Linked DNA regions of Nothobranchius furzeri. The main gene of each other region encodes a partner of the protein of the gene in region 5 in a complex. Links are inferred from orthologs where the notes say so. Each region holds a gene or a part of one and is shown on either strand. Other genes may lie near its edges. The genes, in order: polr1b, tbp, rrn3, polr2h, taf1a, ubtf and polr1h.

Region 1 (3,486 bases), on a different chromosome or scaffold from region 5:
GGACTCTGACATTTTTTGTGCAAATGAATATGCTGTTCCTTCAAAGAACTGTACCGGTACGAGTCCACAGCCACGCATTTGTGTTTACAGAACTTGGTGTCTTCTGGAATTTGAGTGCTTGAAATGCTAGCTACCATTCCCGTCCATTGTTTACGCTAAGCTAAGCTAACAGAATGACTGGGCTTATTGGTTTTCCCCACTCATCAAGCTCTGGGGAATATGGCAACAGACCAAGTTTCACCTAGGGGTGGAATATCTCTCCAAGTGTAAAAAATCAACTTAAGTTTCTGCCGTTTATTTTTTCATCTATTTTTAAGTGTTTCAGTGTAAAAGTTAGAATTATTTTAGTTTTTTTAAAGATGGCGGCATCAGTCCTGAAGAACATAATCTATTTCTCCCAACTGAGGCTGTTCAGAGCACCGTCTACAACAGCGGGTAAAATATAGATATCGACCTGTTTTATTCCTTCGAGTCGGGCTCAAAGAGGACAGAGCCATCGCTGTTAGCTAAATACTTTTATTGGGTTTGGAGAACATTTCATCATCATGGCTGATAAACTATCACATTGACACGACATCACGGTTTCACTGATTTCTTGATTCTGATTTCCACTCAAGTCATAATTAAGGCACGAGTCTTTGTTTCTCTTCTGAAAAACTTTATTTAACCTCCAGCTTGACTTTGATGTTCATCGCTGCGAGCTCGGCTACGAAGTAGCGGAAGACGTACGGGACCGACACAGAGTCGATGGAGTCACTTTTGCCACACAGGGAGCAGACGGTTTTCCGGTTTCGCATGGCAGACCAGTAGGGCGGAGGTTTCTCCAGCAGTGGTGACAGAAGGCTGCCGCAGTCGATGCACACCTGAGCGACCGAGCGATCTGAGCAGTTAAAAAGACGGTCATGAAGCAGGAACGAGGATCCGTGAGCCAGCAGGGCGTCGCGCTCCATTTCTCCAAAACGAATGCCTCCCTGGATGTTTCTTCCTCCCACAGGCTGGTTGGTCACCTTGTCTCGTGCTCCCGTGGTCCTCACCTGGAATTTGTCGGAAACCATGTGACGTAGCCGCTGGTAGTAGACGACACCGATGAAGATGTCAGCCTCCAGTTCCTGACCGCTCAGCCCACTGTACAGCCGCTCTGTTCCATAATAGTTGTAGCCACCCGCTCGCAGCATTTTACCAAAGTACTCCAGCGCCGCGCTGTCTTCAGAGAAGGTGAACGGCGTGGCATCGTGGCTGAGGCCGTGCAGGGCGGCAGACTTCCCAGCCATGCTCTCAATGAGCATTCCTATGGTCATACGGGAGGGGAACCCGTGGGGGTTGAAGAGAATGTCGGGAGTCATACCGCTCTCGGTGAAAGGCATGTCCTCCGCCGGCCACAGGCGGCTCAGGATCCCCTTCTGACCGTGGCGACTAGCAAACTTGTCACCAATGGTGGGGTTTCGAGGCACTCGGACGGTGATGCAGACTCGTTTAAAACGCCCTGAACCGGAGTCGTTGCTGCAGATCTTTATGTTATCGACAACACAGGCCTCTTGGCTCCTGCAGATGAAAAAAAAAAACGCAAAAAGAGTTTAAAAGTAGTAAACAGTGTTGGGAAAGTTACTTTTAAAAAGTAATTAGTTATAGTTACTAATTACTTTGTCAAAAAAGTAACTCAGTTACTAACTGAGTTACGAGATTATAAAAGTAACTAATTACCAAGAAAAATAACTACTTAGTTACTTTTTTTCATTAAAGAATGCAAGAAAAACGGGTTAATTGAACTTACTTAATTTACTATAAACGACTACAGTGGTGAAATATAAATGACTAATGACTGGAACATAATAAAATGTATGTCCAAATGTTTTTTATAAACCTGCATAATTTAAATAAATAAGCACTTAACAGGAGGAACTACTAACAGGAACATTACACTTATCTAGACTATTAAAAGGTCACTGTGTGATATTTAACAAGACCCCAGTCAGCTAAAATTTATAATTGCAAATAGAAACACCTGTAAAGGTTCCCGAGCCTTTAAATGGTCTCTCGGTCTAGTTAAATTACAGAAATGAATGTAGTTTTGCACAACATTTTAATGTTTCCAGCTTCACATAATTGTCTGTTATTATCAGCATTTCTGTTGCTGCTAATCTAGTAACGGTTAAATAAATAAAATCCTTTAAAATGACACTAGAAGAGGCACAAGCCTGATGGAGGACCTACATTTACTAACTTGGGTCAGACCCAACCACAGAAGAGCTGAAGCTGGGTGGTAAACACACACAGGTAGTTCTAATAACACCTGAGCTCCATGACGTCTGAGACTGATGCATCAGTGTTACAGCGGGACTAAAGACATGATCAGAAACAGGTTACAGCTGGATGATCTAGGAAGGTAGAAGATCACGACGTCTGAGCGGTGAACAGGTGAGCGGACCTTCAGGACGCCCCGCTGTCACGCTAAGAAGGGCGTAGACTATTCATCACATCTTCCTCGTTCTTCACGGGCCGTGATGCGCTTGGATGAAAACATCTGCCTCTTTAGCTCCTGATCAGCTGATGACAGCTTCAACACACCGCGCTGCTTAACGCACGCATTTCCATATCAGTAACAGAAACGACGTTTTGATAAAAGAAGACGGTAATTAATTAGTTTGCTCATTACAGAAAGAAATCTTTTTTTTTGTAACGCAGTCATTTTAAACGGCGTTATTCCCATCACTGCTCTGTTGTGTCTACAGCATGCAGTGACCGAGACCGTGAGGGTCTCCGCCCACCCGGCCAATCACCATCGTGTTTGTTACGACACCTCTCTCTCCCTGGCTGCAGCTGAAGTGTGGCGGTCAGAAAGCCTCACACTGTTGCTCAACGTTCGACCCGCACATAGTAACGCACAACCTTCCGTCCCCGGTAACGGTAACGGCGCTGCAACAGCGGGAAAAGTAATTAATTAGATTATTCCGTTACCCTAAAAAAGAACGCTGTTGGTAACGCCGTTATTTTAAACGGCGTTACTCCCAACCCCGGTAGTAAAGTAGGACTGGTTTCTGTGTTTGCTAAAGCTGCTGGTCTAACGTTGACCAGCAGAAAGACCAACTCTTACTTGTAGAAGGTGACGAAGCTTTGGCCCGTGTTGAGGTTGATGTAGCTGTAGAAGGGGTCTCCATACTGAAGCACTGATCCGATGTGAGGAAGACCATCCCCATCCAGCCTGTCCTTCACTTTTGGGTCGCCTGCCTTGGTTCCAAACACCACGCTGTCCTCTCCTTTCACCTTCTCTGCCAGGTCCACCAACTCCGTCTTGTAGATGCTCCCATGAGCGAAGCCTCTCTCCCAGGACGACTTGTTTACGATCTGTTAAAACCAACAAGCGTCAGCGACTCGTCCCAAACAGAGGCTTCCAAATAATCACCTCATATTCACCATGGCGTCTTCCATGTCGTAGCCCGAGTACGATATGACGGCCACGATGGCGTTGGTGCCACTAGGGTAGTTGTC
Region 2 (3,360 bases), on a different chromosome or scaffold from region 5:
AACGTGTCCTGGGTCGACCCGGGGGCCTCCTGCCGGCAGGACATGCCGAAGCACCTCCCCAAGGAGGCGTCCAGGAAGCATCCTGACCAGAAGCCCATACCACCCTTGTTCTTAAAATTTAATGATTTTGACATGTCAGTTCCAACATAATCACCTACAAATGATTCTCTTTTGACTGATGTTACATGGGAGACAATCCTGACTTGTCTTTTTTATGATGGGTATCAAATAAGCCACAATTCCTTTTGTAAGAATGATTGTATTGTTTAATACACAAATTACTTTATTTCAGATATTCAGAGAAATTATGTATTTTCTGCAGCTCTAACATCCAACTACAACATGTTTTAACTCTTACCCAGAGGTTTTCCCTAAACTATTTCTATACAGGGATTCAGTATTTTAGTCTTCACAGTTTATTTCTTCATGGTGACTTTTGGTTTTACGCAAGAGACTTCAGCTGTAAAATGTTGCTGCAAAGAAAACCAAGTAGACTTGAGTCATATGTACACTTTTATTGGGTGGAAAAGAAAACAATGGACCAAACTTCTTCGAGTCTGCTGGGAGGACAGAAATCAGACAGAAGAGACAAAGATGGAGACTGAACATGTCACTAAATAAACCAGACTTTTAACTAGTTGCCATAAACGTCACTAGCTGACCGTATAACACATAAGACCACCAGCAATGACTTCAATGTGATCCTACTTGAGTTTTAATTTTAGACAAAGGCCAAACAGCCAAAATTCTGCTGATTTGAAACAACCAAAAACATTTTTAAAACTATACTGCATGGGTTTGAAATTAATATTAATCATAAGAGCTTTTTTTCCCTTATATCAATATTGAGCCTACTGAAATCCCGCTGAAGAGCTGCATCGACTTTAAGATTGGCATCACTTCTCATTCTAATTACAGAAGAACATATACACACATTCAAGTTTAACCATTAAACACTTTCTTCCTGTAACCACAACAAACCAGTTCTCTCTTTCAACAGAAAGATTGTTTCACGACTTCAACCAGACAAAGTCGAAAGTTATCAAACGCCTCTAAACAACTTAACTGTTTAGCAGCAGCAAACATTCATGGACAACTTGGCCAGTCAAATAAAGATTAGCTCAGCTTGAGTTAATGGGCGTCTACTCCCAATGAGTGTAAAAAAAAAGTCATTAATCAGGATTATTTTCTACCTTAAGGGAGTAAGCATAGGATTTAAAATCCCAAGTATCATGTACAGCAGGGGATTTAAAGAGAGGTCAACAAATGCTAACAGCTGAGAGTATAAAAGTATTTAAAACAGCTTCACATAAAACCAGCAGTCCTAGTCGTCGAACTGCTTTTCTGCTCAACAACACTTTACATTTTTTACAGTCATATGTACAGTTGGGGATGAGATGGGACAACAAAAACCTGCAACCACAGGACACAATAAACATGGTCAGAGTGAAAGAACAACCTTTAAAATGATGATTAAAAAAATTGAAGACAGAAAGATGGATGAAAAAACTCCCAACACCTGCATCAGTCTACCTTCTCATTAAAAATGTGACATTAAATAATGAATGAAATAAGAGGATCAGGTTTCAGGAGGTGGAAAAGAAACCCCAGGTCCTACGTCGTTTTGCGGAAACCTTTCAGAATGGGGTAAATGTTTTCAAATGCTTCGTAAATCTCTGATCTCACTTTGGCCCCTTCAGGAAAAACAAAAAAGATTGAAACATGGATCAGTATCAAGATGAATCTAGAAAACTTACAGAATCTCTTGTTCTATTTTAAATAAAAAAATTACAATCCTTTCAAAATAAAAGGAGATCCAAAACAATGTGCCAAATTATTAGGTGATACTTTAACTAGAATCTAAAAATACACCCGTCTGAGAGCTCGGGCCTTACCTGTGAGCACTACTTTCCCAGAAACAAAGATGAGCAAGACGATTCTGGGTTTGATCATTCTGTAAATCAGTCCTGGAAACAGCTCCGGTTCATAGCTACAAAACACAAGTTAGACTTTCACAATTATATGAATTTTAAATTAAAAAAATGTACCATTTTTAATTAAATCTTTGCAAACATTAGCGATGCTCAGATCAGGTTTTTTGCTGCTTATGGATTGGCCATAAATGTATCAATGCTGTTATTATACTTGCTACATGATCTGGAATAAAGGAGCAATAATATTGCCCAATTTTGACAAAATCATTTTACAAAATACAAGACTTGTCAGTGTGTTTCTGACCAGAACTTATAAGCCTTCTACTATTTTCAGTTCAACTCAAGATGATCATGTCCAGGATGACAGAGAAGCTTCCCCTTGTGCTTAGGGCTGTAGCGAAGCCTCGACTACGTCGACGGCTCGATTCTAAAAATTTGTCGACGTCAGATCCGGAAGTCGACGCACCGCGCCCACTTGTTGCATCCCCAGGAGTTTGTAAATAGAGGAGGAATCTGCCTGTTTTTCCTCTAGTTCGCCCTCTTCTCCGCCTTCACTAACATCTCCGCCAAATACCGAAGACCCGGAACAATGTCCGTCCACTACTAGATTATTTTCCTGTTTTGCCCGCCTTCGTCTCCCGGCAACGGACAACAACTTCCGGGGTCAGATGCGCTGCTCCGTCTCTATCGCAGATGTAGAAAATCACCGGGAGCGTTTCTCCCTTCATAAAGGAGCTTCTTTCAGACATTAGGAGAGCTGTTTTGGTGGTAGCAGTCTCTCCTCCGTGCTGGTCTGTTTGCTGCTGGGTGTTTTGGTTTATTTAAACTTGGTAACTTGAACTTAACGTTGGTAAAGCTACTGTTAGCATCTTCGCTAACAGCTTCTTGCGTTGGGATAAGCTGTTACGTTTTGGTTTAGAGTTAATCTTTTTTGTGGTGTAGATCTCCCTTTTATTACATTTAGAGTGTTGTGGGTTTTCGGTTTAGTGTAAAATATCACCTTGAGTTTGGTTTAACCCGTAAGACCACTCGCCTCACGCACATAAGTGACCAAAACAAAGCAGCGTGGAGACACTCCATCTTCTACCACCTCTCAGGCAGCAGCCTGCACTCCCAAGTTCTACACGTCACCAGAACATAACCAACCGCAACACAATAAAAGCAGTGTTATACAAAATGGAAGGCCTGTAGTGTTTATTCTCTTACAGTAACAATTTATCAATTTTTTTGAGGAATTTATTTGAGATTTTCTGGTTTTTGTTAATTGTGCAATAGAAAAATAATCATTAGATTAATTTTCTAAATAGTCATTAGAATAGTCGACTATTCGATAAAATAATCGTCAGAATAATCGTTTTAAAAATAATCGTTTACCCCCAGCCCTACTTGTGCTGTATTTTTGTTACAGGATGCAAAGTTTAGATCA
Region 3 (3,933 bases), on a different chromosome or scaffold from region 5:
TTAAGGGGGGGGGGGGGGGGGGGGGCATGGCCCCTGGACTCTGACTAGAGCACTTCCGCCCCTGGATTCCTTGGTAGTTCTGCTGTTGTGTTTGGGTCATGGATCTGTTTGATGATCTGGTTCAGTTCAAGCTTCAGCTGGCAGACAGATTGACTCTGAGACTCGGTGGTCACTGAAGGAGTTTCTGATTAACTCGATTACTGTTTCTTTTTATTTCCGACGTTCTCAGTCCAAACAGGTACACCAAAGTTTGTCTGAAGGGATGCAGCCTGTGGATTTCATCCGTTCATTTCATCACGACGTAAAGCAGCAAAATAAAATCGGATGCATTTACCCTCTCAGGCTCAAAAATAAGTTTTGATAAAAGGACGAACAACTAAGTCCTTCAGGGGTTCTGAGTTAAAACATGCTCATGAAATACATGTGTGGGGTAACCAGGTAGGTAGGTTTTAACGTTGCACATCTGCAACGCCGACCTCTAGAGGGTTAAATCAACCCAGTCAAGCCCTGTAAAAGAGTGTAGCCAGTCCCACCCAACATGGGTATCAGGTTGTGACCTTTGAACTTAGTTGAGAGAGACCACTGGTTTTTCTCCAGGATGCAGAACAACATTGATCTGAAGTGTTTATTTTTCTTTTCACCTATTTATTTTAGCAAAAAGTAGAATACTTTTTTTTCCCCTTAAAATGTGCTTGAGGTAATATGTTTTTCTAAATGACACACTAGTCTGGTAGAGAAACAAAACAAAGTACAATAAAGATATAAAGTTTCAGAGGCACAGTAGATGTGATGATCACAGTTTGCTATGTGAAAAAATCCACAGTTTTAGTTAATTATGCTCAACACTTCAAAGAAATTGATGAACTGTGAAAAAAATAATTCTCAGGTGCTTAAATTTAACATTTGTTTTCCCTGATGAACACATTATATATTTTGAATTAGCAATCTTGTAGCACACAGGTGGTAAATTCTTACAGAAACTATATTTAGCTAATATTACATTCAGGGTGAAACACAGTTATTTATCGTAAAATAATGCTTTTCTGTTTACTGTAAAAAAAAAAAAAAAAAGTGGGTCTCGCGCACCGCGGGAAGAGTTTTAATGTGACACCTCATCACTCTGTTCCGGAAACACGTGATTTCTTCCGCCTGCGCTCACAGCAGCTTGCCTTTGCTTTTCACTAGTGTTTTGGGGTCTTGTATTGATATTGTTCCCCGTCTTTATTCCGGTGAAATGAGAGAATACGTTAACGTATACGTTTAGTTTGATGATAGCCACGTTAGCTCGTGGAAACCAGCGCGTGGCCGGAACCATGGATGCAGACGGTAGGGACTTCCTCAACTCTCCTCCGGCCAAGACGGTCCGGTTTGGGGGGTGCGTAGCGGAGACTCTGGAGAAAGCCAGACACGTGAGTGCTGTAGCTGGTCCAGTCCAGGGCATGGTAAAGACAACAGCTAGACTTCTCTGGCTTAACATGATCTCGGCCAAGTTTAAACTGATAGATGTTAAAGATAAAAAAGCAACATGTTTAATTGGGACCCAAGGTGCCTCGAGGGTTAAAAGACGAGGAATGAGTTTTAACTTTAAACCAAAAACATGAATGTTTCAAATACAGGTGGAAGGTGAAATATCCTGGGTGGTTGTGCTGTGGCAGAATCATTTTACTTTAGTTTGATACGATTGTTAGCAGCAGGAGCAGCTCCTTTCACCTTCCTCTAAGAGCCCTGTGTCCTGATGAGGCGCTTGTCTGTTTTTGAAGGGGGACACAAATGACTACGAGCTGCTGAAGCATCAGCTGGTGGATCCTGAAATCAAGGTAAAACCTCTGAGGCTGATCTTGGGTCGGTGTGAAGGTGCGAATAATGGTCATGTCTCTCTGGACAGGATGCTCAGCTCATCAGCTGGCTGCAGGAGTTTCGGAGCTGTGTGACTCAGTTGACAAAGGACCATGAGCAGCTGGTTTACACGATTCTGGTGAGAGGACAGCTTCACTGATGAGGAGAGCTCAAACCTTCATTTGATCAGATTAGATGGTTCATTTCCCTTAGATTATCTGATTGAAAACAGAACTTAGTTCAGTGATTTCTGTAATTATAGGGAACAATTGTTAGCTGTTTGCAATGTCAGCTGGCTCCTATTCATGAGGAGGAGGAGGTGGATCTAGTCCTTCCTCCTAAGCCGGGCGTACACTGTGTGACTTTTTCACTCGTAGCACTCAGCTTCAGCTCACACTGTACGACTTCCTCGCAGGGCAGATCTCACGAGTCAGGTGCTCACACTGCACGACCCAGTTCTCGCATGCGACCTGACTGCTCACACTGTACGTCTGGTAGCAACATGTCGGACCTAAAAATGTGCTAAAAATAGCAGTTTTTACTCAACACGTCAGACTTTTTTGTTTTGTTTTGCCTGTTGTCCTTCGGGAGTGCTGCAGGAGGACACACAGGGATTTATGGGGGTTGGATGAGGAAAACAAAATAAAGAAAGTAAATCTGTGTTTTGTGATCAGTTTAATTTGACATGAACACGACAAACACGCTTTCTTGACAATCTTTGTGAGTAAAAAACGTGTAGAAACAAAAATGAGCAGCGTGTGTTATTAGGGAAATAGCGGACGAGCAGTGTTGATGCAGGATTGCGCCGTGAGCGGTTCTGATACTTTTTGGGTCGCAGCCGCTCGCAGCGCCGCTTCAACAGTGCGATACCCTCACGAGGAACGAGCGAAATATTAAACACGCCAGAAGTTTGTGCGACCTCACGATTGCTGATCGGTAGCTGGTCACGTGGTGTTACTCGCCTCTCGTAACCCCTGTACACTACACGACGCTCAGCGCACACTGTGCGACTTTTTCACTTTTTTGAGCCGATTTTCCAGTCGTGCGAGAATCCACAAGATCGGGGCGAGTTTTGCGCCGAGCGGTCGTGTAGTGTACAGGGGGTTACGAGAGGCGAGTAACACCACGTGACCAGCCGCCGATCAGCAGTCGTGAGGTCGCAGGGACTTCTGGCGTGTTTAATATTTCGCTCGTCCCTCGTGAGGGTATCGCACTGTTGAAGCGGCGCTGCGAGCAGCTGCGACCCAAAAAGTATCAGAACCGCTCACGGCGCATGCGCGCGCAATCCTGCATCAACGCCGGCCGGTCGCTCGCTATTTCCCTAATAACACGCTGCTCATTTTTGTTTCTACACGTTTTTTTACTCACAAAGATTGTCAAGAAAGCGTGTTTGTCGTGTTCATGTCAAATTAAACTGATCACAAAACACAGATTTACTTTCTTTATTTCGTTTTCCTCATCCAACCCCCATAAATCCCTGTGTGTCCTCCTGCAGCACTACCGAAGGACAACAGGCAAAACAAGACAAAAAAGTCTGACGTGTTGAGTAAAAACTGCTATTTTTAGCACATTTTTAGGGCCGACGTGTTGCTACCAGACGTACAGTGTGAGCAGTCAGGTCGCATGCGAGAACTGGGTCGTGCAGTGTGAGCACACGACTGTGAGATCTGCTCTGTGAGGAAGTCGTACAGTTTGAGCTGAAGCTGAACGCTGCGAGTGAAAAAGTCGCACAGTGTACGCCCGGCTTTAAGGCTGCAGAGGAAAGTCAGCTCAGCTACTTGTGTTCAAGGACCCCCCCCCCCCCCCCCCCCCCACACACAGGGGCTCTCCTTGGGGTCAGCAGCCCCCGGGGGGCTGGGAAACCCACACACTGGTTGCGTTGGTACAGCTAACGGTGTTTCTGAAGAGCACCCAACTTTTTGACCATTTTACATCAAAGATTTGCAGGTTCATTGTTTTTAAATCGCACACAAACAAAAAATGGCCTTTCATAGAAGTAAAGTAGATTTGTAAAGGATTAGCTAACAATATAAAACAGCCGAGTAGCCACGTGCCCCTCAGATGTCCAAATGCTGTAGGCCCTTCTAGATCTACACA
Region 4 (4,006 bases), on a different chromosome or scaffold from region 5:
CTACATAAACGTCTCCCCACTATGACAGAAAACACACCAACATAGCAGATTTCCATGTTGAAGAAGAGCATTGTTTACCTGAATGACACGAGTCTTAGAGTCTCTTAGAGCATTTCCTCTCGGTTTTGAGACCAGCTTGCCTTTCCTTTTGCATTCCTTGTCAAAAACCTGAACAGTCTCCTCAAACTCCTCAAACGTGAGGTACTGCAACAAACAAACAAACATGATTCAACTTAAACAGTGAAGGATGACACTGAGTTTTGGTGCATTTCATTCATTTTCAGCGAACATCAATATTGCTGTGACCCAGATATCTTCTCTACCTCTTTGATCATCCCAAGAAGATCAGCTTCTGTTGCCAAGACGTCCCCCATCTTGGCTTCCTCACTGGAACTCATGTGTGTACCGAAAACATTTAATACCCCTTTAGACGGGAACGATTTCTGCTTTCATTCAAAAACGTTTATAGATCTAGGGTTCAAGCTAAAAGGTGCAAGAACAAAAGAGCAAAATACATAAGTAAAAACTTAATTCTATGAGCAGTAGTAAAAATAACCAAACACCAAAACGCACAACGGAATGCTAGTGTAACTTCGGCAGGCATGTGGGGTTTTATACCATCTTAAATGGTTTAACATCAAGATTAGCAACAACTTATGAAGCTACAAGCTATCTAATTAGTTGACACACGACAGGACATTAACATGGCTCCTACCTTATTCGCACGTAATTTGATTTGGGAGAATTGACGTACAAACAAGTTTGTGATGCGTTAACAAGTAAACGAGATCCATAAAGTACATTTTTGCTCGCTTTGTCGGACAGTGAACGAAAAAATAGCTGGCAACCACAAACAGGAGGGACGCTAAAAATACCTAGCAACCAGAGGGTCACCGGAAAGTAAATGTGAGTGTCGTAAACTAAAACTAACTAAATGTATTATATTTTACAAGAAAATATATTGAATAACCTTAAGTTATGAGGCATGCGATTTAGAAAAACAAAAGTAAACGATTGTAAATTATAACAACGCACAGACAAACGTAATTGTTGACCTTTTTTAGGATACATTATGCAATTTTAATGGTAAAACTATTATTTTAGTACGAGTATTATATTTTTACAATTTCTTATGTTTTACTTTGCTTTTTAACATAAACATTTATTTTTTCATTTTATTTTGTTTTATGAGAAGTACTTCCCGTGTCAAAGGTTAATCACGTTGTTTCTGCGCGCCACAGATTGGCTAGATAGCAATGAATTAAATTACTCTTAAATAACAAATCTAGCTTATGTTTTGAACAGTCGCTGTTGTCCTAAAGAATCGAGTAGTTGCGAGGCTTCTGTGTTTGCATTACGACATCTAAAAATAATTTGGGGTAAGTGCAACAAATGAATTAACAGTATGCTAAAGCTAGCTGTTAGCCAAAATAGGAGATTCAACGTGGAAGATAAAACTTGCCAACTTTAACTGACGTATGTCCTAGTCTTATTTTTATATAAAAGTATTTTATGGTAATATGCTTATAGCAGTTGATTTCTTGTGCTACCTAACGTTTCATTGCTTTTTAAAAGTTACTATAGTTTATTACGTTTTATTTTTTGTTGACAGGTTGTTCAAGTCATAACAGGGGCTTAAACATTTGATCCCCTGCACAAATTCACAGAGTGGGCCAACGATGGCTGGAATTTTGTTTGAAGATATCTTTGATGTGAAAGACATTGATCCAGATGGCAAGAAGTTTGACAGAGGTACTTATGAAGTACAATAACGTATTGGGGTGACTTATTTAATTATTCCATCATATTGTTTTTGTCGTATTGACATAATGCACAGGTATATTGACTCATGAGTAATCATTTATTCTACGTTTTTATTTGCCCACGTTAAGGCAGACTTTACATAGTGATGTTAAAGAAAATCTGGCATCCTGAAGTTAAAAGCTAATATAAAATTGAAAGACATTCAGCTCATTAAGAGAGCAGTTAAAAAACCAACTTGCTTATTGGATTTAGTTTATACAGGTGCTGGCCAGTAAATTAGAATATCATCAAAAGGTTGAAAATATTTCAGTAATTCCATTCAAAACGTGAAACTTGTACATTATATTCATGCAATGCACACAGACCAATGTATTTCCAATGTTCATTACATTTAAATTAGATATTCATAAGTGACAACTAATGAAAACTCCAAATTTGGTATCTCAAAAAATTAGAATATTCTGAAAAGGCTGAATATAGAAGACACCTGCTGCCACTCTAATCAGCTGATTTACTCAAAACACCTGCAAAGGCCTTTAAAAGGTCCCTCAGTCTTGTTTTGAAGGCACCACAATCATGGGGAAGACTTCTGACTTAACAGCTGTCCAAAAGACAATCATTGACACCTTGCACAAGGAGGGCAAGACACAAAAGGTGATTGCTAAAGAAGCTGGCTGTTCGCAGAGCTCTGTGTCCAAGCACATTAACAGACAGGCGAAGGGACGGATAAAATGTGGTAGAAAAAAGTGTACAAGCTCTAGGGATAACCGCACCCTGCAGAGAATTGTGACGACAAACCCATTCAAAAATGTGGGGGAGATCCACAAAGAGTGGACTGCAGCTGGAGTCAGCGCTTCAAGAACCACCACGAGGAGACTCATGAAAGACATGGGATTCAGGTGTCGCATTCCGTGTGTCAAGCCACTCTTGAACAAGAAACAGCGCAAGAAGCGTCTCGCCTGGGCCAAGGACAAAAAGGACTGGACTGATGCTGAGTGGTCCAAAGTTATGTTTTCTGATGAAAGCAAGTTCTGCATTTCCTTTGGAAATCAAGGACCCAGAGTCTGGAGGAAGAGCGGAGAAGCACAGAATCCACGTTGCATGAGGTCCAGTGTAAAGTTTCCACCGTCAGTGATGGTGTGGGGTGCCATGTCATCTGCCGGTGTTGGCCCACTCTGTTTCCTGAGGTCCAGGGTCAATGCAGCCGTCTACCAGGAAGTTTTAGAGCACTTCATGCTTCCTGCTGCTGACCAACTTTATGGGGATGCAGACTTCACCTTTCAACAGGACTTGGCACCTGCACACAGTGCCAAAACCACCAGCACCTGGTTCAAGGACCATGGTATCCCTGTCCTTGATTGGCCAGCAAACTCGCCTGACCTTAACCCCATAGAAAATCTATGGGGTATTGTGAAGCGGAGGATGCAATACGCTAGACCCAACAATGCAGAGGAGCTGAAGACGACTATCAGAGCAACCTGGGCTCTCATAACACCTGAGCAGTGCCACAGACTGATCGAGTCCATGCCACGCCGCATTACTGCAGTTATTGAGGCAAAAGGAGCCCCAACTAAGTATTGAGTGCTATACATGCACATTCTTTTCATGTTCATTCTTTTCAGTTGGCCAACATTAGAGAAACAAACATTTTTTCATTGGCCTTTAGAATATTCTAATTTTCTGAGATACCAGATTTGATGTTTTCATTGGTTGTCACCTATAAATATCAAAATTAAACGTAATAAACATCGGAAATACATTGGTCTGTGTGCATTGCATGAATATAATGTACAAGTTTCACGTTTTGAATGGAATTACTGAAATATTTTCAACCTTTTGATGATATTCTAATTTACTGGCCAGCACCTGTATAACCTACAGCAGACAATGTTTATAATCTACTGACAAATTCTCACCTATTGCAGTGTCTCGTCTGCACTGTGAGAGTGAATCTTTTAAGATGGACCTCATCTTGGACGTGAACATTCAGATCTATCCTGTGGATCTTGGTGAGAGCGTAAGCCCTTTTACCGAGGGCACTCTTATTTAGTTAATTCTTAATACAATAAAAATCTGACTTATAACATATTATAAAGGTGACAAGTTTAGACTGGTGATTGCCAGTACTTTGTATGAAGATGGAACACCGGATGATGGAGAGTACAATCCTCAGGATGATCGACCATCTCGGTGAGACATTTTTTGCACTCTTCCATCATCTCGTAGTGTGTGTGATCTTTTG
Region 5 (4,197 bases):
ACAATGTAAACTTGACTTTACTTTTATTTACAAACGGAGCGTTAAGATAAAATAACTTTCATTTTTATGAGAAAGTTTCTACATTTCCATATTTTACAGGATACAGTTTACATGCACATGTACCATGTTTCATTCCAAGTGATACTTTGTGTCATATTTTACACTTTAACAAAACGTTGTTTGATATTTAATACAGAAATACTCATCCAAGGTGCAGCTAAGTATTGGTCTTTGGGTGCTGCCATAATTTTTTGTGCTTTTATTTATGTGACAGTGTTTTATTGAGGCTTTGTTTGATTTGCATTTGTTCTCATGAACTGTATCCGTATCTGTTTTTCTAAGGTGGTTCTCCCCACACACCAGGATTTGTTGGCTTTTATCCACACTTTGGTTATTTCCCTGAGTGCCAATGTGATTTTTTATTTACAGATTATTACAGATTAGTTTTCTCCCTCCAAAGGCAGGAGTTGGAGTCTTTCCAGTTTTTGGTCACACTTAATGATGCCCACATTAGCAAAAAATGACAACATTTAGACATAAATCATGAACTAATGGCCCCTTCCAAACTGGTTGATAAGCATAAAAATGTTTCTTGAAACTAAGGAGGCAAATAATGGACGGAACTCTTCTGTTTCAAGTAATCATATTTATATGTTTGACATGGAAGTAATATGCATTATTATAAAAGTAAAAAATAGTTGTTAATCGTGGTACAACTTCTTTTTATTTATTTATTTATATATTTATACATTTATTTATTATTATTATTTTTTACCTTTGTCAGTGGATAAAGTTAAAAGCACCACCAAAATAAAAAGCCAAAATGTCAACTTTTTTACTGTTGTATCTTTTTGTCATTTTCACAGGATTGAGAATCGATTGTTTAACAAGTAATTAAAGCACATCCTACTACATAAAAGCTTGTTACTCTGCATATTTTTGTTTGAACTTTCTATGATAGACCAATTGCTTGATTTAAATAGTTTTGTAAGATCATCTTTGTAGATTATTTCTCATGTTTATTAGGCCATTTTGGAACCACTATTTTTCCATTTTGGGGCGTTTTAGTCCTCCTTATGGCAACTATTTCTAGTGATTTCTTTTAAAAAGCTCGGAACATGTTTAGTCTGGCTTACCTCCCTCTTCCTCACCAACTTCTTTTTATGCTAGTGTTTATGTATTTTTCGGCCTCCAGTGTTGTTCAGTTTTATTCCTATGTTTAATCTTGAATTTTTATTATTATCTTTTTAATCAAATGTTTAGCGCTTGCAAAGCGTGTTGTGACTTTTATTTAGAAAAGCCCCAATGTAATATCAGCTCCGCCTTTTCCGGTGTAGTTAACCAATAGCATTGCAGCTTTCTCCCCAGCTTCCTTTAGCCGTACTTAAAACGTGGGTTTTACAAATAAGTCATATGAATATGTATCTCGGTTGTATACACTGATATTATAACACACTTTAAGATATTTTCCGGCATTTGTAGCTCACTTGAATTAGCTTATATAATTTGTAGATTATTCAGCAATCCTTAGAAACACCTAACTTTACTCCTGAGAGGAGGTAAGCTAACAAAGGTTTGTTTACATGTGATCCTGCTAGAGGATGGTTGATTTTTTAAAATCCTGATTGGCTCTTTTTGGATAACAAATAATTTCAATAATTTTGGAAAGTTTTACTTTAGTAAAAGAGGGGTAGATTCCCAGTCTTTCATTGACAGCTATGCTAAGAACGCTAACTAGCTTGTGTGTTAGCAGCACTCTTGAGCAGGTGTCACCAACACAGAGGGCTACCATCCTGCACATGTTAGCTGTTTCTTTGCTCCTACACACCTGATTGAAATGAACGAGTAAATAAAAGGTCTATGCAGAGTTAAGGAGATGATTAAATTACTTCATTCAGGTGTGGTAGAGCAGGAAACAGCTATTTTTGAGAAAGTTGATGATAGGTTTGGAAAATCTCTATTTGCAGATGACGGTGCCATCTGGAGAAGTGGGAGGAATTTTAAGCATTTGTTTTCTCAGACACCGAAAGCTTTAGATCAAATTGTGCAGTGGGCAAATAACGGAGGATTCAAGTTATCTATAGTAAAAAGTAAATTTATGATCTTTGGCTTAAAAAGGAAAATCCCATCTATGAATATTCATATTTATGGCTCTGTGATTGAAAAGGTTTAAGTTTTTGGGTTTGTGGTTTGATGAGAAATTAATCTGGAAAACACATAGAAAGATTAGTAAGCAAATGTGAAAAGGTAATTAATGTCATGAGGAGTTAATCAGGTAGCAGCTGGGGAGCGGAGAGAAGTACTTTACAGTTAATCTATAGGGCTATGATTAGGCCTGTTTTGGATTATGGATGTGTGGTTTTTGGGAAAGCTTCTAAATCTGTGTTGTGTAAATTGGATTATGTGCAGTTTATGGCCCTAAGAATCTGTTGCAGAGCATTTAGATCTACTTCAGTTCCAGCATTGCTGGTTGAAACGGGTGAGTACCCTTTGACAATGAGGAGGGGAAAACTAGGAGTTCATTATTGGCCGGGTTTAGTGGCAGCTTGGCGTATAAATGTCTCATAGATGATTGTCGGGAGTCCAGTGAAGATCAGGATAAGGACAGTTTCCTAAATCATATTGTAAAACTAGTAAATCTCCTAGGACTACAAAAGGAAATGGTGGTGGGGTTAGTGTGGTCTCCAATACCGTTTTGGAAATTACCTGAGCCAGAAGTTGTTTTGGATTTACTAGGATTAGAAAAAGCGGTTGCCATTAAACTGTTAGAAATGTATTTAAGTGTTCAAAGATGCTATCCAAATTTATACTGATGGATCTAAAGAAACTACATTTCATAGAGCTGGTTTTGGGGTTTATATTGTCGAGCTATAAGTTAGGTCAAGTGTTTGTGTGACAGATAAATTATCTGTTTTTTCTGTTGAGCTTTTGGCTATTTTGTAGGCAATGAAGTGGATAGTGGAGCATAAACCATCTCACACTATTGTCTGCTCTGATTCTGCTGCTGCACTGTTGACTCTAAGTAACGGGACATCTGAGGCATGGAATGACTTAGTTTTGGAGATTTTGTGTTGTCTAATGGGCCATTCCCATCTGTACCGGGTCGGCCCGGGCTGGGTTGCGTAGGTTGTTTACATATCTGGGTGGCCTGGTATTTTTCCGGGCTAACCAAGGCTCATTCTCAGCCCTCTTCTCGAGGGGGTCTGCTTCAGGCCGACCAGGGCCAACACACCCACTGCTGACAGCAAATTCACACCTTCCATTAGAGCAAGCCTCTGATTGGTGGGTAGAATCAGCCCACATGGGCTTAAGGCAAGGATGTGTGGAATCAACCGGGCCAGGCTGGGGCCGACCCGGTACAGATGGGAATGGCCCATTAAAGACGCTGAGAATGCGGGTTCTAGGGTGGTATTTGTCTGGGTCCCTGGACATACTGGAATTTTGGGAAATGAAATGGCAGATGCATTGGCCAAAGACTCCATCCTTAGAAATAGCATTGATCATCATCTTCCTCTGGGAAAAAGAGAATGTTAATAGTATGTGCATGCAGTAACTATTTAAAAAATTTGTGGCAGAAAGAATGGGAAGGGGAACGTAGAGGAAGACTTTATTTTCCTTGTCAGCCGTCAGCTCATACTAGTTGGCAACCCTTAACCTGTTGTCGTAGAGATGAAGAGGTGATTGCCAGAATGAGATTGGGGCACTGTGGTCTGGCGGCATGCTTATTTAGGATTGGTAAACATGTAGATGGGTTGTGTGAGTGTGGTAGTTCCAAAACTGTTGTTCATGTATTGTTGTCATAGCCTGGCAAGCCAGACTAAATAAATGTATTATTTAAGATAAGGATTAGCAAACTTTGCAACACAAGGATTTGGTCTAGTTCACTAGGCTATTGTTGTCATGCAGGAAATACAATAGTGAGAAGCGGCAACTTTTTTATGGGGCTGGTGGATTTGGGGATGGAATCTTTTTCCTTTTTTTTTTTCGATTAGTGCAAATTCCCAATGTGTATATAGCTTGATTGTTCAATTCCTTCATCACACTGGCATTTATTCGAGGATATAATGTAGCAGTAATATAACTGTGGTGGGCAGCATTGCACATTCCAGCGTATAGTCTGCTGGAAATTTATTATTATTATTATTATTATTATTATTATTAGAAGAAGAAGAAGAAGAGGAAGAAGAAGAAGAGGAA
Region 6 (4,000 bases), on a different chromosome or scaffold from region 5:
GCCAAGAGTCTTAATGAGATAAATTATAGTAGGATTGTTCCTCAGAGAGAAATGTGTTCGTTATTCTTATATTATGTTTAAAATACTATTTAAAACATAAACGTTCTAAAAACATGATACGCAAGCATAATATTCTACATGGGAAAATTACTATTTTAGCTGCCTTTTTATCCTGCTAATAGGTTAAATAGTTGGTTTTATTTTTAAGTCTAGTATTGTCTAGTTTTATTCAGCCATATTCATGATTTCAATCTTCATCAAAGGCAAAACAAAAAAGTAATTAACAATTACACGTTAAATTCGATTTAATACTTTGTAACCACATACAGGAAACATGATATAAATTACTGTGAAAGATAAATACGAACAGGATAATTGAAATTTAAGGTAAACAAAAAAGATAACACAATTGAATTCTTCAAACTATATTATATAATTTTAATTGTAATTGTAGAAGTTTATTTAAACAGTGACAGTGCACAACTTGACATTAACCACAAAAGAAAGATGCAATGTACCAGGTTATAGTGGGGATGCTAATTTCCACCTGTAGTGCCTGGGAAGGTTGATATTAAAATCACTAAACTAAAACAAAAGACGACTGTTTTTGTCCAGTTAGCTAAATTCCTGACACTAATCCAATAATACTTTATTCCTACTGTAAGTGAACATAGCACAGTTTAACAAGACTGAGTGCCTGAAAGTCTTTGTTTTCCTTCAATCGGACGGACTGGATTGGACGGCCGGGGGTTCCGCCCACAAACACACAAGGTGGAGTTGAAAAAATAACATGCTGGGCTAAAATGAAGCTGTCAAACAGCCAGTTACGTTTGAGTCAAAGAGGTTTGGTGCCGGGGGAACGGCACGGACACCGGAAATAAGAGTTAGGAGAATAATCAGACACTGATTGGTGTCAATTATAAACTTTAAAGATGTGTGCGTTCAATGAAAAAAAGTTCACTGGTGGCGTTTAAATTAGGTAACCAGTAAAGCGATTTTTCTTTCAAGTGTAGGCAGACGAAATGTTAGAGATGCAAACTTCAGTGGGAGACGTGAAAGTCGGGCTCGATGAGAAACAATAAACTCTGCTGGCTGAGCTCAGAAAATCAGCGGCGTTAACACTGGGGAACATGGGGATGTGTCGGTGTAGCGGAAATGGTTGGATGGAGAGAAGAGAGCTGCTGCACGTTGACTGGAGGGAGACAGCGAGAGAGATGGAGGCGGGGGGAAGGACCATCTCTGCGGGGACTGGAGCCCAGGACCGACGGCGCAGTGCTGGCTATCGTTCAACCCTCCCCTTCTTCATCCACAGCGACGCGGAGGCTCGCGCCGAGACAGGTAAGCAGCACGAAAGTCGGTCGGTTTCATAACCACACGTGGAAAGAGCGCGATAAACAAACCAGAAAAGCGGTTAAAAGTCGAAAAATAGACATTCTGTTTTTAATGTTGTCTACCAAAGCTCCTTAGGCGGCAGGATCTTTGTGGTAACGAAACAAACTCCCCGCTGGAAGGGCGCAGACGAGGTCGGCCTTACCCGAATTTCTCTGCCCAAACAGCGGGGAAGAAGCTGGATGTAAGACCCAGTGGTATGATGTCTACTATAAATTACACCCAGTGAATTCATGAAGCGAATTAGTTTCACGTAGCATCGGGATTTAGCTAAGCAATCGTTTGTTTCGCGTGGGGAAATGTTTTCCGGTAGTTTCCGCGCCGAGACCTCCACGCGGCTGTTGGCGGAACAGCTAGCCGCCTCTCGGTCAGCCATCAGGGATCTCGGTTTAATATCTCACCGTGAGGAGACTCGCCCTCCCCTCTCCCCCTCTCTCTCTCACTGACTAGCCCAGAACCACCGACAACCGAGCTCGGAGAACCCGCCTTTCCGTCCTCGCTTATGCGCTTTTTGGAGCTAGGGAAGGGAGTCTGCAACGCCCCGGCTAGAGCTTTCGGCTCCGTTTTCAGTGTTCGCAGTACGCCATTGGACCTTGTCACGGTAGGTTTGCTTACAAGAGCGGGGCTGGTAGCATGGCGGACCTGGAGCCGTTTTGTCGCGCCAGAGAAGCTGCTCAGCCGCGGATTGTTCTTTAGATATCCGATAATGAAAGAGCCGATTAAAGCCCACATTTTCCTCGAAACGGAGAATAACTAACACTAACATGAAGTAATTCAAAATTAGGTCAATAATGTTGTTTCACCGTACATATATTTTTTATTTTAATTATGTTTCGCGCCTCCGCAAATAATTTAACCTAACATTTATTAATTTTCGATCTGGTGTAACTTAATTTAGAATATTTTGGAGCATTTTGTATGGTTGTCAAATAATTCATGTTAATTATACGTTGTAAACACAAGTTAATGTGATCCCTAAATCGTCCTTGTGTGACACAAATTTTGATTAGTAGCAAATACTGTTGACTAACTGTGCTACCTTAGATGCTGGTATGATTTTAGGCTTCTTTTCGACATGCTAAGTTACACGGCGTCTTATGTTTTTTTTTCCACATTTATGTAGTATTTTTGACTAAACGTCATAAATCCGACGTTTGAATTTGACATTCTGCGCATTTTACATAAGAAATATGTCGAAAGTAGTGTTAGAAACGACGCGAGGAGACACGGTTGAGCTATCAAGGACAAGATGAACAACGGTCATCCGCCATCATTGGAGCACAGCTCGGCTACGCCTCGCTGAAGAATGCTCTGGCTTTTTGGTCCAAAAAACAACTGCGTGATACCACAAAGCGAACAAAATGTTGAGTGAATTATTCTAAAACGCACACATAAACCCCCTCACGCGTAGAATGCTAGTTTAGTCGTTCTTGTTTTGGGTAAACATTAGTGGAGAAGACTTTAGGGCTGCGTGGCGGAGCTAGATCCACGTCCAACGGTGATGAGGCGTCTCCGCCGAGTGGCGCATTTGGCTGCAGTGCTTCCAAGCTGCCATTCCAGGCTGTCGGAGACCGAAAGCAGATCCCCCGTCCGTGGTCAGCTGGTCGCCTACAGCTGCCTGTCTGTCCACGTTCATTCGCTTCCTCCTTCCGTGGATCCTCCCCAACCTCCGCTCCGACAGAAAGTCCTCCATTACCGAGCAGACCGAGCGAGAAAATGGTCGCTCCTGAGCGTCCACGATACTTCTGTTGTAGAATAAGGACAGCACTAATTCGCCAAATTCCGGTTGGCCCAAAAATAAAAAATAAAAAAAAATAAAAAAGAAGCTCGACAGGGACTCCTGTTGTCGTCGCTAGATATGCTTAGTTGAAGCCCTCCGCAGTGTTATTTGAGATTTGAAGCCGTCACAAGCAATAGCCTATGCCTCACCATGCAGCGTAAACGTTTAGGGGCGGTGTAATGAACATAAACCATTATGTCGGCACACATTTCAACTCAAACGACTTACAACAGAGATCAGTTATAATAAAGTTAGAAAATATGAATTTTAGTGATTTTGATTAATTTATTGTTTCTTTTGTAGTTCAAAAATCGCATTTTCACAAATGAATGGAGAAATGGAGGCAGCGACACATGACCAAGGTAGTATATTTATGAGTCATTTTTATTTATATATATTTTTTTAACAAATGACAAATACTTGTATAATCACGAAATTGTTTTAATGAATTCCACATTTTGTCATCATACTATAAACATAATGCAACCATACTAATAAATCCATGAACCAGTTTACATGTATTTTTTTATCAGTGTGGTCGCAGGATGACCTCCTAAAGCTGCTGGAGGCCATGAAAGTGGCTCTGCCACAGAAAGATCTGACTAAATACAAAACATCCGAGTCCCATCTGGACTGGCAGAAGGTGGCCTTCAACTCCTACACTGCAGAGATGTGTAAACAGAAATGGCAAGAGGTCTCTAAAGAGGTGAGATGCTCAGATCATGATTTTTAGGTCGTAAACCTTTTCAGATGTAATATTTAGATTAAGTTCTTAAAGAGGTCCTCCAATGAGAAACAAGTTTGTCTTATTTTTGGAAATGATCTGTTACA
Region 7 (4,166 bases), on a different chromosome or scaffold from region 5:
CATCCTGTCTATACTTGTGTGAAAGCAAAGAGTTGGTTGGTAACACAATCTAAGGGTGGATCTGTTAGTCAGGAAGCACTGATGACTTCGAGTAAGTGTTCTGCAGGCAGGACTGGGATGATTTAAATCCAGAAATTTGTCACTGAGGCATGTGAGACATGATGGTAGAATTGATATGTTGTTAATAAAGTTGCTAAAACATTTTAATCTTCATGATAACATTTTGCAACACGACCTTCAGTCACAAAGCTTTATTCTAATGCTCCACTTTTTGTAATCTTTTTCTGGGATGTCTTGAAAACAACAAAGGAAGATGAAACAACCTTCTGTGATCCATCCACGTCTGCTGGTGAAGTTCCGTTTCCTCCCTGACACATTATATGGCAGGAATTGATGGACCATTTAATTACTGAATGTGTGATGTCTACATCATCAAAGAAAGATTAATACTTGCATTAGGGCTTATTGTTTGTCATTCTTTTACTGTGTTCAAATTATGAATTGTATTTTTGATTTTCATTAACATTTAAAAGGAGTCCACAAATAATATAATATGGAAACAATTCATTAAAATAAAACACCTATGGAAAAGTCAGACATCCGTTCAAATTTTCTACATACATGCACCAAACAAATGAATGATCATAGGTTTCAGCCTGATAAGAAAACACAGCATCACTGTCTCAGCTGGTCGGTTCCAGTTTCACTCCAATGTGAACTAAACTAAATCAGAAAATTTCAAAATTTGTGATTTTAAGAACATTTGGTTTGTGTGACATCTGTAACCACCGATGTGTAGATTATTCTAGTGGCCTTTTTTTTCTTCTTCTTTTTTTTTTTTTTTTGTAAAATAGATAAAAATAAACAGTTATGAGCAGTACTGTTTTTGACATGGGCGACCTGGGTAATGGCCCAGGATGGCATCATGAGAGGGGTGGCAAAATGGGTACGAAAAAAAAACTTATTTTGGGAGCGCAGTGCCTGAACATTATGCTGGTGTGTGTAACTTTTGGAAACATTTGTTCTGCTGCGTGCTGCAGAGGGAGGAGGACAGGTCTGCTGAAGCGGCTTGAGTGAAGCAGCATCTAAAAGTAAAGTGTGTTCGCCCAGGGCACCGAACAGGCTAGGACCACCCCTGGTCATTGTTGCCCCAAATCTCTGCACAGTAATTATGAGTTTAGTGTTGTTTATTATTTCCACGTATGCTTTACTTTGGTATTGAAATGCTTCTGGAGATGCTATATGATATTTCCACCTTATTTTATTGTTTGACACCATTTAATGGTATTTGCGAATTAATTTAATTATTCCCAAATAACATTTTGGTCATTAACTCATGTCACGTAAACAAGCGTGCGACACTAGCACGTCCTGCGTCATCAGCCTGCGACAATAACGTGATAGGACCATATACATAGCTGTGGATAGGACCCTAGGACCTCTACTGCAAACAAGTGACCGGTGAAAGAGGTTTGTAACGTTTTATACTGACTTAATAAATGATGACAGTAGCGCTGTTTTGAACTAAATGTGTAAAGAATAGCCGAATACTAATATAAACATGTAAAAGGTTTCCAAGTAGCTCCACGTGCTCAATGTGCTGCTGCTACTACTGCTAATAATAACAATAACATTCACTCGTTAGATTTCATCACACAGCCAGGAGGTCTTTTAAAGTGTTAATTTATAAAGTGCTAAGTCTTCATAACGGAAGTTACGGTGTAACTATGGTTCTGTGAGTTCCTGGATGACTGCCAGTCACAGGGGTCACTCGGAACTTCTCGGGCGAGAAGATCCCGGGAGACCCGAACGTAGCTATCGGCGCGTAATTTATAGACTCGCGACCAGGTGCGCTACGTGTCACGTGCGTGACTTTGTTTACATTAGTACTCGACCTGCGCAGAGCGCGAGGAGATACATCCACTCTGTTTACTGCCACTGGCAGTCAGGAGGGAACGAAACAGAACCCATGTGAACCGAACGGGAAACCAGTGGTTCATGGTTTTGATTGTTGTTTTCAACGTGTCTGTGTTTCTCAAGAGTCAGCAGCCCGGTTCGACGGGATGTCTTATTTTAGTGGTGACCCGAACTTCTGTCCTGAATGCGGGAACGTTCTTCCGGTACCAGTAACCTCCAACACTGTCCTGTGTCCTCGCTGCTCCTTCTGCATTCCTGTTTCAGGTAACGTGTCCCAGAGCCGTTTCTAGCTTTGTGAGGGCCTGATTCAAGAGGCTGTTTGGGAACCCGGGTGGAGGTGGTGATGATTCCTCAAAGTACCACAAGTGTAGTAAAAAGAAAAAAAAATCACTTCACAGTAAATGTATTTAACGTGATAGTGATGCACCGATATGAAATTTTTGGGCTAAAACAAATATACAATATTAATATCACCGTTATGGCCGAAAACCGATACCGATATACCGACATTAATGCTTCTAAAATCAGCAGATTTTGTGTAGGGCTTGTGATCACACGTGATTACGCATAGCATTCTGCAAACTGTGAAATAAACGGTACTGTCGCAGAGTAGAAGCAGATTTGGGTGAAAGAAAGTGTTAAATCACATAAAATCCCAACAAGGATGTGGAATATACAGGGACATGTTATATAAAGACGTCGGGGACCGGTATGTGGACAAAATCATCATTATAAATGGTTTTGATCCACATAAAAGACCCAAGACTGGAGCACTGGTGACATATTGTTGCAGCTGCAGTTCTGCATAACAGACTTTTTCGGCTATCTTGTTTAACGTCCAGATGAGAGGTAAACGTTTAATTTGTTGGTTTTTCTAGTAAAACAATCAAAATTGTCATCCCTCAGAAGAAGTGTAGCGAGAAAAGTTATGTTGTGTATCATTAGCTTACCGGTAGGTGAGTGTAGCCTCTGTGTACGTGTGTGTTTCGTGTGCATGTTGCGGTTGAGGGAAAGAAACGATGTATAAAAACGTACACCATCTGTAATTTACCAGAATGAAAATAATTTGGAAGGTGATGTTTGGTCGCCTTACAGCTGCGATCCAAGTGAGCTAACAAGACTTTATGCTAGATACTTGGTCTCTGTCGTTTTGCCACTAAACAGGAAAACTGTGGAAAGTTAGCTTGTTTTTCACCTTAATTCCACTGGCGATCACGTGTGTCACATGAATTAATAATACATAAAAAGTATCAGCTGTTGTGCTACAGCTACTATTTACCGTCTATGTGGTAGATTACTGTAAATACAGGCATGAACATGTAAGCACACAAACAAATACATATATCAGGTGCATCCTGCATGGAGTAGTGACCGTAGCGTTTAAGTGGCTGGCTGACTAATGACGTCATAATGTGTTATAAATCCCATCTACTGGTGGAATCGGTGGTCTACGGGAGTGCTCCTTCCTGCAGCGGGGGTATATCAGTTTCTGACTGAATGAGCTGCTCAGGTTGATGTGTGTTGTTCATGATGGATGTTAGCTTAGCTAGCATCCTCCTCTCGCCCACCACCGATTCCAGGGGGCATCCCAGTACAGAGCTAGTCCTCTGCACCAGTTTGCCAATTCTGTTCTGGTCCCTGTCTGTACATCCGCTTCCCCAACAGGCCACTGCATAGAAAAGGGCAGATGCAACCGACAAATCATAAAAAGTCCTTCACAGAGTTCTGCATACTCTGAAGGACCTCAGTTTCTCAGCAGGTGGAGTCAACTGCATTTGAGATGGGCAGATGAAGGACAGTCCTTGTGGTAACTCTGGGAGAGCTTAGTCTGACTGATTGTTGCCTTTCTCCTTTATTGTTTTTTCATTAAAAACAATACGCATCCAAGAAGAAGAAGAAGAAAAGATCTCTTCTATAGCGCCTCTCAAGATAAAAATCACGAGGCGCTTCACAAAAACAAAAAATGTAAAAATATAAAAAAGAATTTAGAAAATGATTAAAAATATATTTAAAATGAGCAAAAGATAGACAATTGTGATTAAAAATGTAAATAAAGAGAGAGATTGAATAGGAAAGAGGGAAATCCAACACAATTATCTTGAATTTTAGAAACACACACACTTAAAAAATACATATTTCAATCAGGGATTACAATTATTATTTTTTTTTTCAAAATTTATCGTTTTAGCTTTTTAGAACAGTTTAATTTGCTTGTTGCTGTCATAACAAAAACACCTACAAAAACTATT

What was found.
Region 1: taf1a (region 5) and polr1b share a complex: the UniProt entries of both Homo sapiens proteins name them as parts of the pol I pre-initiation complex. The link is inferred for Nothobranchius furzeri from reciprocal best matches to the Homo sapiens genes TAF1A and POLR1B.
Region 2: taf1a (region 5) and tbp share a complex: the UniProt entries of both Homo sapiens proteins name them as parts of the transcription factor SL1/TIF-IB complex. The link is inferred for Nothobranchius furzeri from reciprocal best matches to the Homo sapiens genes TAF1A and TBP.
Region 3: taf1a (region 5) and rrn3 share a complex: the UniProt entries of both Homo sapiens proteins name them as parts of the pol I pre-initiation complex. The link is inferred for Nothobranchius furzeri from reciprocal best matches to the Homo sapiens genes TAF1A and RRN3.
Region 4: taf1a (region 5) and polr2h share a complex: the UniProt entries of both Homo sapiens proteins name them as parts of the pol I pre-initiation complex. The link is inferred for Nothobranchius furzeri from reciprocal best matches to the Homo sapiens genes TAF1A and POLR2H.
Region 6: taf1a (region 5) and ubtf share a complex: the UniProt entries of both Homo sapiens proteins name them as parts of the pol I pre-initiation complex. The link is inferred for Nothobranchius furzeri from reciprocal best matches to the Homo sapiens genes TAF1A and UBTF.
Region 7: taf1a (region 5) and polr1h share a complex: the UniProt entries of both Homo sapiens proteins name them as parts of the pol I pre-initiation complex. The link is inferred for Nothobranchius furzeri from reciprocal best matches to the Homo sapiens genes TAF1A and POLR1H.

The regions. Positions count from the first base shown.
Region 1 is NC_091752.1:7,765,347-7,768,832, reverse strand, and holds the end of polr1b (DNA-directed RNA polymerase I subunit RPA2), read right to left. Parts: coding exon 3,412-3,486; intron 3,343-3,411; coding exon 3,092-3,342; intron 1,543-3,091; coding exon 660-1,542; 3' UTR 501-659; downstream 1-500. UniProt on the Homo sapiens protein: Catalytic core component of RNA polymerase I (Pol I), a DNA-dependent RNA polymerase which synthesizes ribosomal RNA precursors using the four ribonucleoside triphosphates as substrates.
Region 2 is NC_091749.1:35,004,844-35,008,203, reverse strand, and holds the end of tbp (TATA-box-binding protein), read right to left. Parts: intron 1,991-3,360; coding exon 1,896-1,990; intron 1,695-1,895; coding exon 1,615-1,694; 3' UTR 501-1,614; downstream 1-500. UniProt on the Homo sapiens protein: The TFIID basal transcription factor complex plays a major role in the initiation of RNA polymerase II (Pol II)-dependent transcription.
Region 3 is NC_091758.1:12,122,455-12,126,387, reverse strand, and holds the start of rrn3 (RNA polymerase I-specific transcription initiation factor RRN3), read left to right. Parts: upstream 1-1,133; 5' UTR 1,134-1,268; coding exon 1,269-1,409; intron 1,410-1,760; coding exon 1,761-1,817; intron 1,818-1,885; coding exon 1,886-1,975; intron 1,976-3,933. UniProt on the Homo sapiens protein: Required for efficient transcription initiation by RNA polymerase I (Pol I). Required for the formation of the competent pre-initiation complex (PIC).
Region 4 is NC_091748.1:62,882,983-62,886,988, reverse strand, and holds the start of polr2h (DNA-directed RNA polymerases I, II, and III subunit RPABC3), read left to right. Parts: upstream 1-1,206; 5' UTR 1,207-1,379; intron 1,380-1,612; exon of another isoform or gene 1,613-1,667; 5' UTR 1,668-1,679; coding exon 1,680-1,752; intron 1,753-3,689; coding exon 3,690-3,773; intron 3,774-3,860; coding exon 3,861-3,954; intron 3,955-4,006. Other genes in the region: lisH domain-containing protein ARMC9, read right to left, coding at 79-204, 324-398. UniProt on the Homo sapiens protein: DNA-dependent RNA polymerase catalyzes the transcription of DNA into RNA using the four ribonucleoside triphosphates as substrates.
Region 5 is NC_091742.1:8,334,908-8,339,104, reverse strand, and holds the start of taf1a (TATA box-binding protein-associated factor RNA polymerase I subunit A), read left to right. Parts: upstream 1-1,397; 5' UTR 1,398-1,559; intron 1,560-1,671; exon of another isoform or gene 1,672-2,090; intron 2,091-4,162; 5' UTR 4,163-4,197. UniProt on the Homo sapiens protein: Component of the transcription factor SL1/TIF-IB complex, which is involved in the assembly of the PIC (pre-initiation complex) during RNA polymerase I-dependent transcription.
Region 6 is NC_091745.1:10,210,543-10,214,542, forward strand, and holds the start of ubtf (nucleolar transcription factor 1), read left to right. Parts: upstream 1-1,200; 5' UTR 1,201-1,338; intron 1,339-1,833; exon of another isoform or gene 1,834-1,990; intron 1,991-3,472; 5' UTR 3,473-3,494; coding exon 3,495-3,531; intron 3,532-3,702; coding exon 3,703-3,875; intron 3,876-4,000. UniProt on the Homo sapiens protein: Recognizes the ribosomal RNA gene promoter and activates transcription mediated by RNA polymerase I (Pol I) through cooperative interactions with the transcription factor SL1/TIF-IB complex.
Region 7 is NC_091751.1:25,535,587-25,539,752, forward strand, and holds the start of polr1h (DNA-directed RNA polymerase I subunit RPA12), read left to right. Parts: upstream 1-1,366; 5' UTR 1,367-1,470; intron 1,471-2,040; 5' UTR 2,041-2,063; coding exon 2,064-2,181; intron 2,182-4,166. UniProt on the Homo sapiens protein: Core component of RNA polymerase I (Pol I), a DNA-dependent RNA polymerase which synthesizes ribosomal RNA precursors using the four ribonucleoside triphosphates as substrates. Can mediate Pol I proofreading of the nascent RNA transcript.